Anolis sagrei: one gene and its partner. The protein of the gene in region 1 interacts with the protein of each later gene in a biochemical or structural test. Links are inferred from orthologs where the notes say so. Each region holds a gene or a part of one and is shown in the gene's direction. Other genes may lie near its edges.

What was found. The genes of interacting proteins can lie anywhere in the genome.
Region 2: of the proteins of RAP1A (region 1) and RAPGEF5, one has a biochemical effect on the other in vitro, tested with the Homo sapiens proteins (2 studies listed by BioGRID). The link is inferred for Anolis sagrei from reciprocal best matches to the Homo sapiens genes RAP1A and RAPGEF5.

What each region holds. Positions count from the first base shown.
Region 1 is NC_090024.1:199,234,208-199,241,852, forward strand, and holds the start of RAP1A (ras-related protein Rap-1A), read left to right. Parts: upstream 1-4,609; 5' UTR 4,610-4,905; intron 4,906-7,645. UniProt on the Homo sapiens protein: Counteracts the mitogenic function of Ras, at least partly because it can interact with Ras GAPs and RAF in a competitive manner. Together with ITGB1BP1, regulates KRIT1 localization to microtubules and membranes.
Region 2 is NC_090026.1:93,381,387-93,388,696, forward strand, and holds the start of RAPGEF5 (rap guanine nucleotide exchange factor 5), read left to right. Parts: upstream 1-4,297; 5' UTR 4,298-4,533; coding exon 4,534-4,698; intron 4,699-7,310. UniProt on the Homo sapiens protein: Guanine nucleotide exchange factor (GEF) for RAP1A, RAP2A and MRAS/M-Ras-GTP. Its association with MRAS inhibits Rap1 activation.

The sequences.
Region 1 (7,645 bases):
CAGCACTACTGTTTTCCCTTACCGTTGGCAAGAGAAAGGGGACAGAGAGCCCAATCGAGAAACCTTTACTTTGGAGTAGTTGGATGGGGCTGTGGACAGGAAGGCTAACTGAAACTGGGGCCCCTTCCACACAGCTGAATAAAATCCCATACTATCTGTTTTGAACTGGAATATATGGCAGCGTGGACTCAGATAACCCAATTCAAAGCAGATATTGTGGGATTTTCTGCCTTGATATTCTGGGATATAGGGCTATGTGGAAGGGCCCTTGGAGGCAGCCTTGAAAAGGGGAAAAAAAAGAAAAATAAACCTGCAACTGAAGAGCAGATCTAATTATATATTATCTATTCACACTTTCTTCCTTGATCTGTATGGTGTTAGCCAGAAAGACACTTTCACATCTGTTTTTAAAAGCAATTTTATTATTCAAGGCTTCCAAAGAACTGCAGTCTCTTTTTCCATCTTCAAGCCATTTTTACAATCTTGCTGCAGCATTTGAATAACTTTATGGTCATTTATGATCTACTGCTGAATACATCTTCAACTGATTTTATTAATGTACTAATAAAAGTTTGACATGAGAACACCACAAATACATGAGACAAGGAGGGGGAATATAGTGTATGACGAAGACGAAATCCATCCCAAAAGGAACATAGACTTAATGGTGAATTATAATCAAGGGCCCCAAAGACTAAACAACCCCAATATGTGGTTAACATTTAAGGTGACATACTAAATGAGACATTGTGGAAGTTGCAGTCCAAAAAGCTCTAACACAAACTGGGGGCCCTTCCACCCAGCTCTATATCCCAGAATATCAAGGCAGTAAATCCCACAATATCTGCTTTGAACTAGGTTATCTGAGTCCACACGCAGATAATGTGGGATTTTCTGCCTTGGTATTCTTGATATAGGGCTGCATGAAAGGGCCCTCATTTAAATTGTTGGGACATAGGTTCACCGTGTCTGACTTGTTCCATTGATTTTTGTGGGTCTACTCTAAGCACAACTGTAAAATATCCAATATTGTCCTCCCTTGCATCAACAAGATTGCAAGTATTATTTGTGTCATCTGTTTCCTTATACATGGCAGCAGTCATCCTTCATTCTGTGCTGTTAACAGTCAATAACACACTTTTTGTTCTGATAAGGAGGGAGTGGAGTTCTGTTTGCTCTCTTATTTTAGTGTAGATTGTTATTCCTATGCTACTTATGCCATCTTCATTGCTTGCTGTGGTCTTTACTTCAAAAACAAAGCAAAAGGATACCATGTACACACACTTAAAACCAGGCATTTAAAAATCCTGAAATGACAGTAAGCTCTAGAAATGGTCAGGGATATTTACCAAGACATTTGCAGGAGTTCTGAGAGAGCATTTTAATACTTCTTTAAGATGAAGATCCTCTTTGGAATCCTACCTATTTCCTGCACAAATTCTACTAAGAGCTTAAAAATAGGGTTTAGAGAGGTCTGAGTGATGTCTTTTTTTGTCATTCTGTGCCTTATGTCCAGCACTAAACCGAACTATGCCTGACTTTTGATTTTTAGAATATATATGTCTATTGTGTATTATCTTACACAATAGCTATACAGTTATATTTATACCCCATGTTTTCTCCAGTAAATCAAAAGAAATGTATATATATCGCTCTCTTCCCCACTTTTTATTTTCACAATAGTGATCCTGGAAGGGAGAGCAGGCTGAAATCAACTGGTCCAAGTCACTATGCAAGTTTCATGACTAGAATTTCCCAGTTAACACTAAACCATTTCCAGATCCTCCACCTAGGATCTGGAAATGGCAGTGCATATGCTGGTAACCACAGGTATGTGATGTCAAGAGGAAATCTTTACTTATTGATTCTCATGGAGGACCTCATCGCACTAGAGAACCAATCCACTTTAAATCTGGTTTCTGCCTCCTGCAGAATTCTGGGGTTTGTAGTTGAGTGGGACTGTTAAAAGCTCCCCCTTAAACTACAAACCCCAGAATTCTGCAGGAGGCAGAAACCAGATTTAAAGTGGATTCATGCTGTAGTGCAGGCATGGGAAAACATTTTTGCTTTGGGGCTGTATTATGGGCTCAACCAAGATGGCCAGGCTGGGAGGGAGAGGGCCTGTAAGAGGGTGGGGCCGGGGCAGGGCCTGGGTCAACCTAAGGTTGTCCTCTTGGCATAGGGATGCTTGCCCCTTGTGCCATAAGGATGCTCATCTCATCCTTGTGCCGGGAGGAAAAAAACAGGTGGCAACTGCTCCGATACTCCTTCCTGATCTTCGGGCTGTCCTCCGGAGCATTCTGGAGGTCTCTTAGCTGCTACATGCCTTCCTCGGGCCATCCTCTCAGCATAAGGATGGGACCACTCACACTGTCCTTATGCCAGGAGGGCAGGACATGCTGTGGCTGAGAGCACTCCAGAGGGATCTCAGTTGCTGCATGCCTTCCTCCCCTGTCCTTTCTGCATAAGGATACAGCAGGCCACCATGTCCTTATACTGAGAGGATAAGGAAAATGAGGGCCTGAAGTGGGTGCCCAGGGAGCCGTATCCAGCCCTCAGCCTTTAGTTTGCCCATTCCTGCTCTAGTGTGATGAGTCCAGGGTCGTAACTGGGGTGGGGGTGGGGTAAGAGTTCTAATTTCGCAAAAGGGTTCTAACACACACCCCTCCCCGAAACCTGGTTTACTCAAGAATTTTAAATGGTTAACCAAGTTATGAGTAAACCAGGTTTCTTTTGTAACCTTTAAAGATCTAAACAGTTCTGACCCTGATTACCTGTCCGAATGTATCTCCTGTTATGAACCATCGCGAAGTCTAAGGTCATCTGGAGAGGCCCTGCTCTCAATCCCACCACCAACGCAAACGCGATTGGTGGGGACGAGAGACAGTGGCTCCCCGTCTGTGGAACTCCCTTCCCAGGGACATCATACTGGCCACCTCCCTCCTGTCTTTCAGAAGGAAACTTCGACTAGCAACAAGTGGAAAGAAGACTCAGGCAACCCAGGACAATGAATTGACCCAGATTTGGATTTGGTTTTTAAATGGCATGTCTAATCAATTGTTTTTAATTAACTGTTTTAATGTATTTATTGAAATGTTTTATGATGGTGATGGCACTGTATGGTGCTTGTTGTGAGACTGCTCTGAGCCCCCCAGGCCCCCCTGCAACGGGGGTGAGAAAGGAGGGGTATTGTTGTTGTTCATTCGTTTCTGACTCTTTGTGACTTCATGAACCAGCCCATGCCAGAGCTCCTTGTCCGTCGTCACCACCCCCAGCTCCTTCAAGGTCAATCCAGTCACTTCAAGGATACCATCCATCCATCTTGCCCTTGGTCGGCCCCTTTTCCTTTTTCCTTCCATTTTCCCCAGCATCATTGTCTTCTCTAAGCTTTCCTTTCTTCTCATTATGTGGCCAAAGTACTTCATCTTGGCCTCTAGTATCCTTCCCTCCAATGAGCAGTCAGGCTTTATTTCTTGAAGTATGGACTGATTGGATCTTCTCGGTGTCCAAGGCACTCTCAGCACTTTCCTCCAACACCACTGTTCAAAAACATCTATCTTCCTTCGCTCAGCCTTCCCTATGGTCCAGCTCTCACATCCATAGGTGACTATGGGGAATACCATTGCTTTAACTATGCCAGTGTGATGTCTCTACTCTTCACTATTTTATCAAGATTGGTCATGGCTCTCCTCCCAAGAAGTAAGTGTCTCCTGACAGGCCGGTAGCCAGGATTTCGATTGGGGGGGGGGGGGGGTGAGTCTGAGTGAAAGAGGGTCTACCCCAGCAAACCTTTTGTATCGTTACCCCAATACCCCCGTGCATATGGGATATATTGAGTATGGTGATCAGATCATGATATGAATAAACATAACAGTTTAAATAATGCACCAGTAAGGCCTTTTCGCGAACCACCATGAGAATTTCGGGGGGGGGGGGGGCTGAAGCCTCTCACCCCCCCCCCCCCCGGCTACAAGTCTGTCTCCTGATTTTCTGGCTGGAGTCTGCGGGATATAAATCTATGAAATAAATAAATAAATAATAACATGGCACATTTCAGGGTAGGGTTGAATTTTACCCCCCCCCCCCCCCCCCCGCTATGGCCCTGGATGGGTCTCTTATTATTCTGCAAGTGACTGCAGTCCATCCCTTGGAGCCCCGCCTCCTAACTTTTTCCCTGCTGCGTGGAGAGAGAAGAGGAAGAAAAAACACACTCTTCCTATGCTCAGAGGCGATGAAGAAGACTCAGCATTAAATCCCAGTGGTTCTTTCCGGCTGTTCCAAGGTGCAGGAATCCAGAAATCCATTCTGGGAGGTGGAATGACCACAGCCTTGGGAGATTAGTCCTGCCGCAGCTGAAAAAGGAGCAAAGCCAAGCCGACAAAGGAGTAGTGCTGCAATACGCAGAAGGAAAGGCAGCTCTGTCCGGTGAGGACGTTTGTCCCTAGTTTCCAGCCACGAAAGGAGACGCAAAGAGGGCAGTGGAAAGGGACAGTTCTTCCCCACAAGCAGTGGAAAGGGGCAGGCTCAGCGTTGGAAGCGAAGCCAAGGCTGGGCCAACCCCCGCCCCGCTTGCTCGCTCGCTTGCTTCCTTCCTCTTGCTCTCCAACTCTTTGCTGGCCCGCCTTTGCGCGCCCTCGCTCCTCCTTTTGCCGGCTCCTCCTCCTCCTCCTCTTTCCCCGATCGCAGGCAGGAAAAGGGGGGCCGAAAGGAGGGAGGAGGAGGAGGAGAAGCAGCCACTGACGCGTCCTCCCTCGGCTGAGCTTCCCGCAAAGGCAAGGCGCCGAAGAGCCGGAGAGAAAAGCGAGAGCAACCCAGGCGCTTGGAGAAAGCCAACCAACTGGAGACACAGACGCACACAGAGAGGAAGAGGCTGCGCGCTGGCTCCCGGCGATCAGCAGCAACGGGGTGAGCCAAAAAAGGGGGCGAATCCGTCTCTCCTGCCGGGCCCAGCGCTTCTTTCTCCGCCTGCCAGGCCGAGGGGCCCGCTTGCTTCCCTTTTTGGCTCCTAGCCCGGCTGAAGAGGGCGCGGGTGGCTCTCTTTCCCGTGCGCAAAAACTGGGAGGAGAAGGAAAAGGAGGAGGAAGGCGCGTCTCCGAAGGGAAAAGGAGGGAAGGAGGGGGAATGGTCCCGTTGGGGGGGGGGGCATCTGTATGCATCTGTGGGTCAGAGACACCCGCAGACACTTCTCTGGCTTGGCTCCAAGCGGGCTGTCAGCGCGTCTCCCTTGCCGAGTCCTCCTTTTTTCCCCTGGCTGCGTGTGCGTAAAATAGCCGGAGGCAGCCAGGGAAAAAAAGGAGGACTCGGCAAGGGAGACGCGCTGACAGCCCACCCGCCTGCTTCCCTGCCAAGAAGGAGTGCCCACCAAAGAGTCAGCTGTGTGTCTGTGTTGCAATTGTGGCTCTTGAGCCAGATCTGGCCTCCAGCCTCCCTTCCCAAGGAGAAGCCACGCTCCCATTCTTAAGAGAGTGCCTTTCTTGGGATCTGGCACCGCGCACAGAAAAGCCACGTTTTCTCCCTCGGTTTCCTCCTCTCTTCCTCTCTCCCGGATTGCCTTTTGTGTTGGTGGACTTCTCTCCCAGGCTGGACGGGAAGTAGGACCTTTTCTGAAACCCTTGGGAGTGGCCAAAGGGGAGCCAGCCACTCACTGCTGGAGTGTTTTCCAACCCTGCGCCAAAGGTGGAAGGGATGGGCTCCTCCTCGAAGACTAACTCTGCTGCTTCCCAGTTTTGGGGAACTTCAACTCCCAGAATCCTTGGTCGTTGGCCAAAGCAGCAGGGACTTCTGGGAGTTGAAGTCCTTTGTGTGTGTGTGTGTTGCTTTCTTTTTTATTTTCTCTTTATTTGCTGTCCATGCATGCTCAGGGCCCTTCCACACAGCCCTCTATCCCAGAATATCAAGGCAGGAAATCCCATGTTATCTGAGTTATCAGGGCCCTTCCACATAGCTGAATAGAATCCCACATTATCTGCTTTGAACTGGGATATATGGCAGTGTGGACTCAGGTAACCCAACTCAAAGCAGGTATTGTGGGATTTTCTGCTTTGATATTCTGGGGTAAAGGGCTTTGTGGAAGGACCCCCAATTCAAAAGCAGATATTGTGGGATTTTCTGACTTGATATTCTGGGATAAAGGGCTGTGTGAAAGGGCCCTCAGAAGGATATTCTGGAGATCTATGTGTTGTCGAAGGCTTTCATGGCCAGAATCACTGGTTTGCTGTGAGTTTTCCTGTCTTTATGGCCATGTTCCAGAAGCAATCTCTTCTGACGTTTCACCTGCATCTATGGCAGGCATCAAGAGAGAATGCTTCTGGAACATGGCTATGCAGCCCAGAAAACTCTCAGCAACATAGGCACCTTCCACACAGCTGAATAAAAGCCCACATTATCTGCTTTGATATTGGAATATATGGCAGTGTGGACTCAAGACCCTTTCATACAGCCCTATATCCCAGAATATCAAGGCAGGAAATCCCATATTATCTGAGTGTGGACTTTGGGCCCTTCCACACAGCCCTATATCTAGAATATCAAGGCAGGAAATCCCACAATATTTGTTTTGAACTGGGTTATTTGAGTCCACACTGACACATATTACAGTTCAAAGCTGATAATGTAGGATTTTATTCAGATAACCCAGTTCAAAGCACATATATTGTGGGATTTTTTAATTATTTTTTTTTTGCAGAAGGCCCCCAGTTGATCAATATCAGTGTTTAGCAAACGTTGGTTTTCCAGTGTTGCCTTTCCTCCATGCCCAGTGTGGGATTCTAGGGACGGTTAATCTAGGGGCCCTTCCACACAGCCCTATAACCCAGAATGTCAAGGCAGAAAGTCCCACAATATCTGCTTTGAACTGGGATACCTGAGTCCACACTGCCATATATACCAGTTCAAAGCTGATAATGTTGGATTTTATTCAGCTGTGTGGAAGGGGCCTCTATCAGTGTGTTCCCAACTCTGGTCTTCCAGGTGTTTTGAATTCCAACTCCAGAGCAGATAAAAGTCCAAAACACCCGAAGGACTGGGAGTCACAGCTTTAAAGGATTTAGCATGGCTGGGCTTTTAGCTTCTAATGGGCGTAGTGCAGCACAGGGCCCTTCCTGACAGGCCCTATATCCCAGGACCTGATTTTGTTTATGATAGATTATTTGGCAGTGCAGACCCATAATCCAGTTTAAAGCAGAAAACATGGGATCAGTTCCTGGGATATAGGGTCTGTCTGGAAGGGCCCACAAACTGTTTGACTTCTTGCTAACTTGGATCTGTTGGAAGTTGTAGCTTAAGTTGATGGATGATATTATTATTTTTTGATATACAACAAGATTAGTACACAGCAAACAAGATCACTATGCTGACTTTTGTATTCGATCACATGTCGCACACTTTCCAAGTGTCTAGGATTGTATGATGTATCTGCAAATAATGCGTGCAGATCCGAGTAGGGTGGCCTTTTGTAGCTGATAGATGGTAATTTTGTCAGCGCTGATTGTTTTTCAGTGCAGGCCAAGGTCTTTAGGCACTGCACCCAGTGTGCTGATCACCACTGGGACCACCTTTACTGGCTTGTGCCAGAGTCTTTACAGTTTGATCTTTAAATACAGGAGTTTCCTAGCATCACCTTCTGGGTATGGTTCTTGAGGAAGAA
Region 2 (7,310 bases), on another chromosome or scaffold:
CCTCTTCCACTTATATGTCTTACCAACTAATAAGCCAAATCCAAGCTCATAGATGTGAAATAAACGAAGATGCCGCCTTTGTCCATGAATGTGGATAGAAGAACAGATCTTTTCTTCTTTTGTTTAGCAAAACAGGAGCACCAATTCCATTGGAATTTTGAAAAGATAGTTTTGCGAGGGTTCAAATCCCCACTCAGCAGTGATAAGATCTCTTAGGTGACTTATAGCACATTAGACAATTTTAGGGCAAGTACGGGTGGGGAGCCCCTAGCTTACAGAGCTATTTTGAGGCCTGCCAATTAACAAGACTGCTAGAATTAGAAGCCCATTGCTTATAACACAAGCTGGGCAATTCTTTTTTCCTGCCTAGAATTGTCTTTATTTTTAACGCTTCTTTTGCTCAACAACAATACAAAAACCCAATGTTGGCTTGAAGCTTCTGTATCTCAGAGACAAAAGTGGGGTAGTACAATTACTTCTAATAATAATTCTGAGAACTCCCAAAATTATAATTTGTGAAATTGGAATGACTAGAATACAAGCTGGGAAGTCTTTCTTTCAGGCCAGAAATGTCTTTATTTTTAATCGCCTCTGTTTGAAAAACAAACAGCCGAAAGCCAAAGCTTGCCCAAGTGCAAAGCTCTGGTCACATTTCTCCTCTGGAAGTGTCAAGAAAGAAAGTGTGAGCAAAAGAAGTGTTTTTTAAAAAGACATTTATATCTAGAAAAAAAATCCCCAGCTTGTATTCTAAGCATTTCAATTTAATATAACAGTACCGTGCAGCTGTGGACAAGTCTACATAGGGACCACCAAACTCAGCACCCAGACATGACGCAAAGAACATGAAAGCCACGGCAGACATGAAAGCTACAGCAGATGAACCGGCCTAGACACAGAATATTATTTCAGAACACAGAAATTCTGGACCACTCTGACAACCACTATTTCAGACTACACAGAGAAGCCATTGAAATCCACAAGCACACAGACAATTTCAACATAAAGGAAGAAACTATGAAAATGAATACTGGTTACGAGTATTAAAACACACCAGAATCAAGACAGTAAATAATGAACACCATTCAGAAACAGAAGAACTCCAGACAGCAAGCAATCAAGGGTCAGTTAACACCTCCCCAACAGAGGATGCCTCCAGGCAAGAGTCCAGGCTACCTCTATACAGATACCCTCACTGACTTACTTTGCACATTTATGGCTACTCAATGCTATTTAAGCTTGCCAAGTGCAACATTCACACTTTCTCTAATCCAGAGTTCCCCAGACTCTGCTCCTCCAGGTGTTTTGGACTTCAGCTCCCACAATTCCTAACATCTGGTAAGCTGGCTGGGATTTCTGTTAGCTGAAGTTCAAAACACCTGGAGAAGCACAGTTTGAGAAACAGGGAAGTCTTGCTACCCCTCTATTCTGCCTTAGTCAGACCACACCTGGAATATTGTGTCTAATTCTGGGCACCACAACTGAAGGTCAATGTTGACAAGCTGGAATGTGTCCAGAGGAGGGCAACTCAAATGATCAAGGGTCGGAAGAACAAGCCCTATGAGGAGTGGCTTAAAGAGCTGGGCATGTTTAGCTTGAGAAAGAGAACGCAGAGGAGACATGATGGCCGTTTATAATTATGTGAGAGGAAGTCATAGGGGGGAGGGAGCAAGTTTGTTTACTGCTGCCCTGGAGACCAGGACACAGAACAATGGCTTCAAAGTACAAGAAAGGAGATTCCATCTGAACATTTGGAAGAATTTCCTGACTGTGAGAACTGTTCAGCAGTGGAACTCTGTGCCCCAGAGTATGGTGGAGGCTTCTTCTTTGGGGGCTTTTAAACAGAGGCTGGGTGGCTATCTGTCGGGGGTGCTTTGAATGAGATTTTCCTGCTTCTTGGCAGGGGGTTGGACTGGATGGCCCACGACGTATGTTCCAGCTCTACGATTCTATAATGCTCCACCTTTGTAACTACTCAACAGATGGCAGTACTGGTATGCAACAGGTTTTGGCTTGTTCAGTAGACTCTCCTCTACAGTTCCATTTTGGTAGGAAGCCTTAGCATTGAACGGTTGTGTTGTTAAAGTGCAAAGTATGAAACCCTGCGCAGACAGTCAGTCAATGTGACTTAAGCAATGCGCAGTCATTGAATTCTTGACAGCAGTAGGTGTCACCCCAAAGGAGATTCATCAGAGAATGCAAGCTGTTTATGGTGATTGTGTTGATGTGAGAACAGTGCGTCGTTGGGTGAGAAAGTTTAAAGATGTAGAGGTGGAAACATCTGACTTGCATGACAAACAAAGAGTTGGACATCGTGTGACAGCAATCACCGAGTTTCACAAGCAAAAGGTTGACAAATTGATTCGGGATGATTGTCGTATCACTCAGAGAGAAATTTCAAGCATAATCGGCATTTTGCAAGAACGTGGGGCTCACATTATTGCTTTGCTTGGCTATTGGAAGATCTGTGCATGATGGGTACTCAGGATGAGAGAACTGTGAGACACTGGTTGAGGAAACAGACTGTCGACTGTGTTGTTGTTGGTTTTTCGGGCTATATGGCCATGATCTAGAGGCATTTTTTCAGGCTATATAGCCATATTCTAAAGAAGACTATCGACTTCTTCCATGATGGCTTCAGAAAACTAGTTCATCGTTAGCAGAAATGTATCCAATTGTCTTGTGATTATGTGGAAAAGTGAATAGTGGTAGTTAAAGAGCACATTCTAAGAATTAGTTCTGTGTTTGGGTTGTTGTAGGTTTTTTCGGGCTATATGGCCATGTTCTAAAGGGTAAAGGCATTTTCTCCTGACGTTTCGCCTGCATCTATAGCAAGCATCCTCAGAGGTAGTGAGGATGCTTGCCATAGATCAGCATTTCTCAGTCTGGGGGGGGGACCCCTTGGGGGGTCGTGAGGGGGTTTCAGAGGGGTCACCAAAGACCATCAGAAAATACAGTACTTTCTGTTAGTCATGGGAGTTTTGTATGGGAAGTTTGGCCCAGTTCTATTGTTGGTGGGGTTCAGAATGCTCATTGATTGTAGGTGAACTATAAATTCCAGCAACTACAGCTCCCAAATGTCAAGTCTATTTTCCCCAAACTCCAGCAGTGTTCACATTTGGGCATATTGAGTATTTGTGCCAGGTTTGATCCAGATCATCATTGTTTGAGTCCACAATGCTCTCTGGAAGTAGGTTAATTACAACTCAAGGTCAACGCACACCAAACCCTTCCAGTATTTTCTGTTGGTCATGGGAGTTCTGTGTACCAAGTTTGGTCCAATTCCATCGTTGGTGGAGTTCAGGTTAACTATAAATCCCAGAAACTATAACTCAATCTCATCCCCACCGCGACAGTACTCAAATTTGGGGTATTTGTGCCAAATTTGGTCCAGCGAATGAAAATATATCCTTCATATCAGATATTTACATTATGATTCATAACAGCAGCAAAATTACAGTTATGAAGTAGCAACAAAAATAATTTTATGGTTGGGTGTCACCACAACATGAGGAACTGTATTAAGGGGTCACGCATTAGGAAGGTTGAGAACTACTGCCATAGATGCAGGCAAAACGTCAGGAGAAAATGCCTTTAGAACATGGCCATATATCCCGAAAAAACCTACAGCAACCCAGTGATTCCGGCCATGAAAGCCTTCGACAAGTTCTGTATTTGATTTATTAAAATATTCCCATTCAAGCCCAAGTAACGAAGGTGGAGGCATTACTTTTAATTCAACCCTATATAAATGTTTCAAATAAATAAATTTCTCTTAATCCCTCCTTACTATCCAACATTTTTGCTTATCCAACGTTCTGGTTATGTTGGATAAGCGAGACTCTGCTGTATTATGATTCTGAGAACTCCTTCAAATTATCAGTTGCAACATTGCAAGGCCTAGAATGCAAGAGGGGGGAATCCTCTTTCTGGAGACTCCTGTCTTTTAAGAATTCTAGTGGTGAGCAGAGCTTCTCACCTGGGCAGGCTTTGGCTTTGTTTGTTTTGCAAGCAGAGGAACTGAGAGAGAAAGTCAACAGCGCATGGAGGCGGGGAGGGAAGCAGGCGGGAGCCTTTTAAGCAAACGGAGGCTGCCTTCAGAAGTTCACCTTGCTATTATCTGGACCCCCTTCCCGCTCCTGAGGCAGGCTTGGCGCGCCATTCTGGCCATTGCGGCCTTTCTCTCCTGAGGGAGAAGGCCAAGGTAGGGCGCACCTGTGGGAGGGCCGCCTCCTTCTCTCTCCGCGTGGCGTGGAAGGGGAAGGAGGCCTTTTTTCCCTCCCCGGCCCCTCCTCCCCGCGCAATTCCAACTCCGCGGGCCCCTCCCCTCCCTGCTTCCCTCAGGCCGAGGCGCAGAGGAAGGGAAGGTGGACGGCAGGAGAGGTGGGCCCTTCCCTTGCCACTGCAGCAGGAGGAGGGAAAGGCAAGGAAAGGAAAGGTGGCGGGGTGCTCCTGTGAGGAGGAAGAGGGGGCTGCAAGGGAAGGAGGAGGAGGAGAAGGGATGCCGCCTTCCCTCCGGGTTGCTCCTCCGTTAAGATGCAGCCCGCGCTCCTCGGTCAGAGCCACGCCGGAGCCCGAGACCACGAACAACAACAGCAGCAGCAGCAGCAAGTGCAGCTGCGGCAAAAGCTGAGGGAATTGCCGGCGCTGCTCCGGAGTGGGCTCACGCTGCGGAGGAAAAACTCCACCGGCGGAGGACGGGTGAGTGAGTGAGTGAGTGAGTGAGTGGGAGGGAGAGATGGAAGGAGCGAGGGAGGGAAGGGGCGCCTCTTGGGCCCCTGCCTCTTGGGCCCCTGCCTCTTAGACCCGGCTCCGAAGGCGTATTGCGCAGCCAAGACCTCCCGCCTTCCCAGCCAGGCCCAAAAAGGGGTTTTGCAGCCGGAGGGAGGGAAGGAAGAGAGGGTTGGGTCTTCTGCTCAGCACCAGCAGGCAGGATGCGGGAATAGGAACCGGAGGGATGGAAGCATCTCAGGCTCGATCTCACTGCCACACCATACAGGTGAACGCCATTGACCTGGGCTCTATGACTACACCAGGTGTGAGCAAACTTGGGCCCTCCAGGTGCTTTGAACTTCAACTCCCACCATTCCTAACAGCCTCAGGCTGGATCTCCACTGCCACACCATGCAGGTGAACGGCGTTACTTGGGCCTTCCAATAACTGAGTAATTGGAACTGGGTTCCAATAGAACTGGGTTCTATGACTCTCCACCAGGTGTGAACAAACTTGGGCCCTCCAGGTGCTTTGGACTTCAACTCCCACCATTCCTTACAGCCTCAGGCTGGAGCTCCACTGCCACACCATGCAGGTGAATGGCATTAAACAGGGTTCTATGATGACACCAGGTATGAGCAAACTTGGGCCTTCCAGAAACCCATAGAACTGGGTTCTATGACTCTACACCAGGTGTGAGCAAACTTGGGCCCTCCAGGTGCTTTGGATTTCAACTCCCATCATTCCTAACAGCCTCAGGCTGGATCCCCACTGCTACACCATATAGGTGAACAGCATTGAGCTGGGGTCTATGACTATACCAGGTATGAGTACACTTTGGCCCTCTGGGTGTTTTGGATTTCAACTCCCACCATTCCTTACAGCCTCAGTCTGGATCTCCACTGCCACACCATGCAGGTGAACAACATTGATCTGGGTTCTATTACTACACCAGGAGTGAGCAAACTTGGGCCCTCCAGGTGTTTTGGACTTCAACTCCCACCATTCCTAACAGCCACGGGCTGGATCTCCACTGCCACACCATGCAGGTGGATGGCATTGAGCTTGGTTCTGTGACTACACCAGGCATGGGAAAACTTGGGCCCTCTGGGTGTTTTGGACTTCAAATCCTATCATTCCTAACAGCCCCAGACTGGATCTCCACTGCCACACCATGCAGGTGGATGGTATTGAACTGGGTTCTATGACTACATCAGGTGTAAGCAAACACGGCCCCTTTATTTATTATTTATTTATTTATTTATTTATTATTTGCACTTGTTAACCGCCACTCTCAAGCCCGAAGGCGACTCGTGGCGGTGTACAGAACATAGAACACAAAGGACAACAGGTTACAATAAATCAGGACCACAACACACATCTTACTAATACACAGCTACTTAACTAAAAATCCGCTTCGTCTTGTTTAGGGTCATAATCAATCTCGTAGTCATGGTCCATTCCGGTGGTCATTCCAAAAACATAGCACTTAGTTGAAGGCCTTCTCAAAGAGCCAGGTTTTCAGGCCCTTGCGGAAGGCCATGAGGGAAGGTGCCTGTCTGATTTCAGCAGGGAGGGAGTTCCACAGCCGGGGGGCCACCACCGAGAAGGCCCGCTCTCTTGTCCCCGCCAGGCGTGCCTGTGAGGCAGGCGGGACCGAGAGAAGGGCCTCCCCAGATGATCTTAAGGTCCTCGTGGGCTCGTAGGCCGAGATGCGGTTCTCAAGGTATTTTGGGCCGGAACCGTTTAGGGCTTTGTAGGATAACACCAGCACCTTAAATTGGGCCCGGTAGCTAATTGGCAGCCAGTGGAGCTGGGACAGCAAGGGCGTTGTGTGCTCCCTGCGTCCCGCTCCGGTTAACAACATGGCTGCCGCACGCTGGACTAGCTGGAGCTTCCGGGCCGTCTTCAAGGGCAGCCCCACGTAGAGAGCATTGCAGTAGTCGAGGCGGGATGTGACCAAAGCGTGTACCACCATGGCCAAGTCAGACTTCCCAAGATACGGGCGCAGCTGGCGCACGAGCCGAAGCTGTGCAAATGCTCCCCTGGTCACCGCCGAAACCTGGGGATCCAGGCTCAGTGATGAGTCCAGGGTCACACCCAAGCTGCGAACCTGTGCCTTCAAGGGGAGTGCGACCCCGACCAGCACGGGCTGTAACCCTATACCCTGTTCGGCCTTGCGACTGACCAGGAGTACCTCTGTCTTGTCTGGATTTAATTTCAGTTTGTTCGCCCTCATCCAGACCGTCACAGCGGCCAGGCACCGGTTCAGGACTTCGACAGCCTCCTTAGTAGCAGGTGGAAAGGAGTGACAGAGTTGGACGTCATCTGCGTACAGATGACACCGCACCCCGAAACTCCGGATGATCTCACCCAGTGGCTTCATGTAGATGTTAAACAGCATGGGGGACAGTATGGAGCCCTGAGGAACACCACAGGTCAACGGCTGTGGCGTTGAACAGGAGTCCCCCAGTAACACCTTCTGGGTACGACCCTCCAGAAATGACTGGAGCCACCGCAAAGCCCCATCTCTGCAAGGCGTCCCAGAAGAATACCGTGGTCGACGGTATCGAAGGCCGCTGAGAGGTCCAGGAGCACCA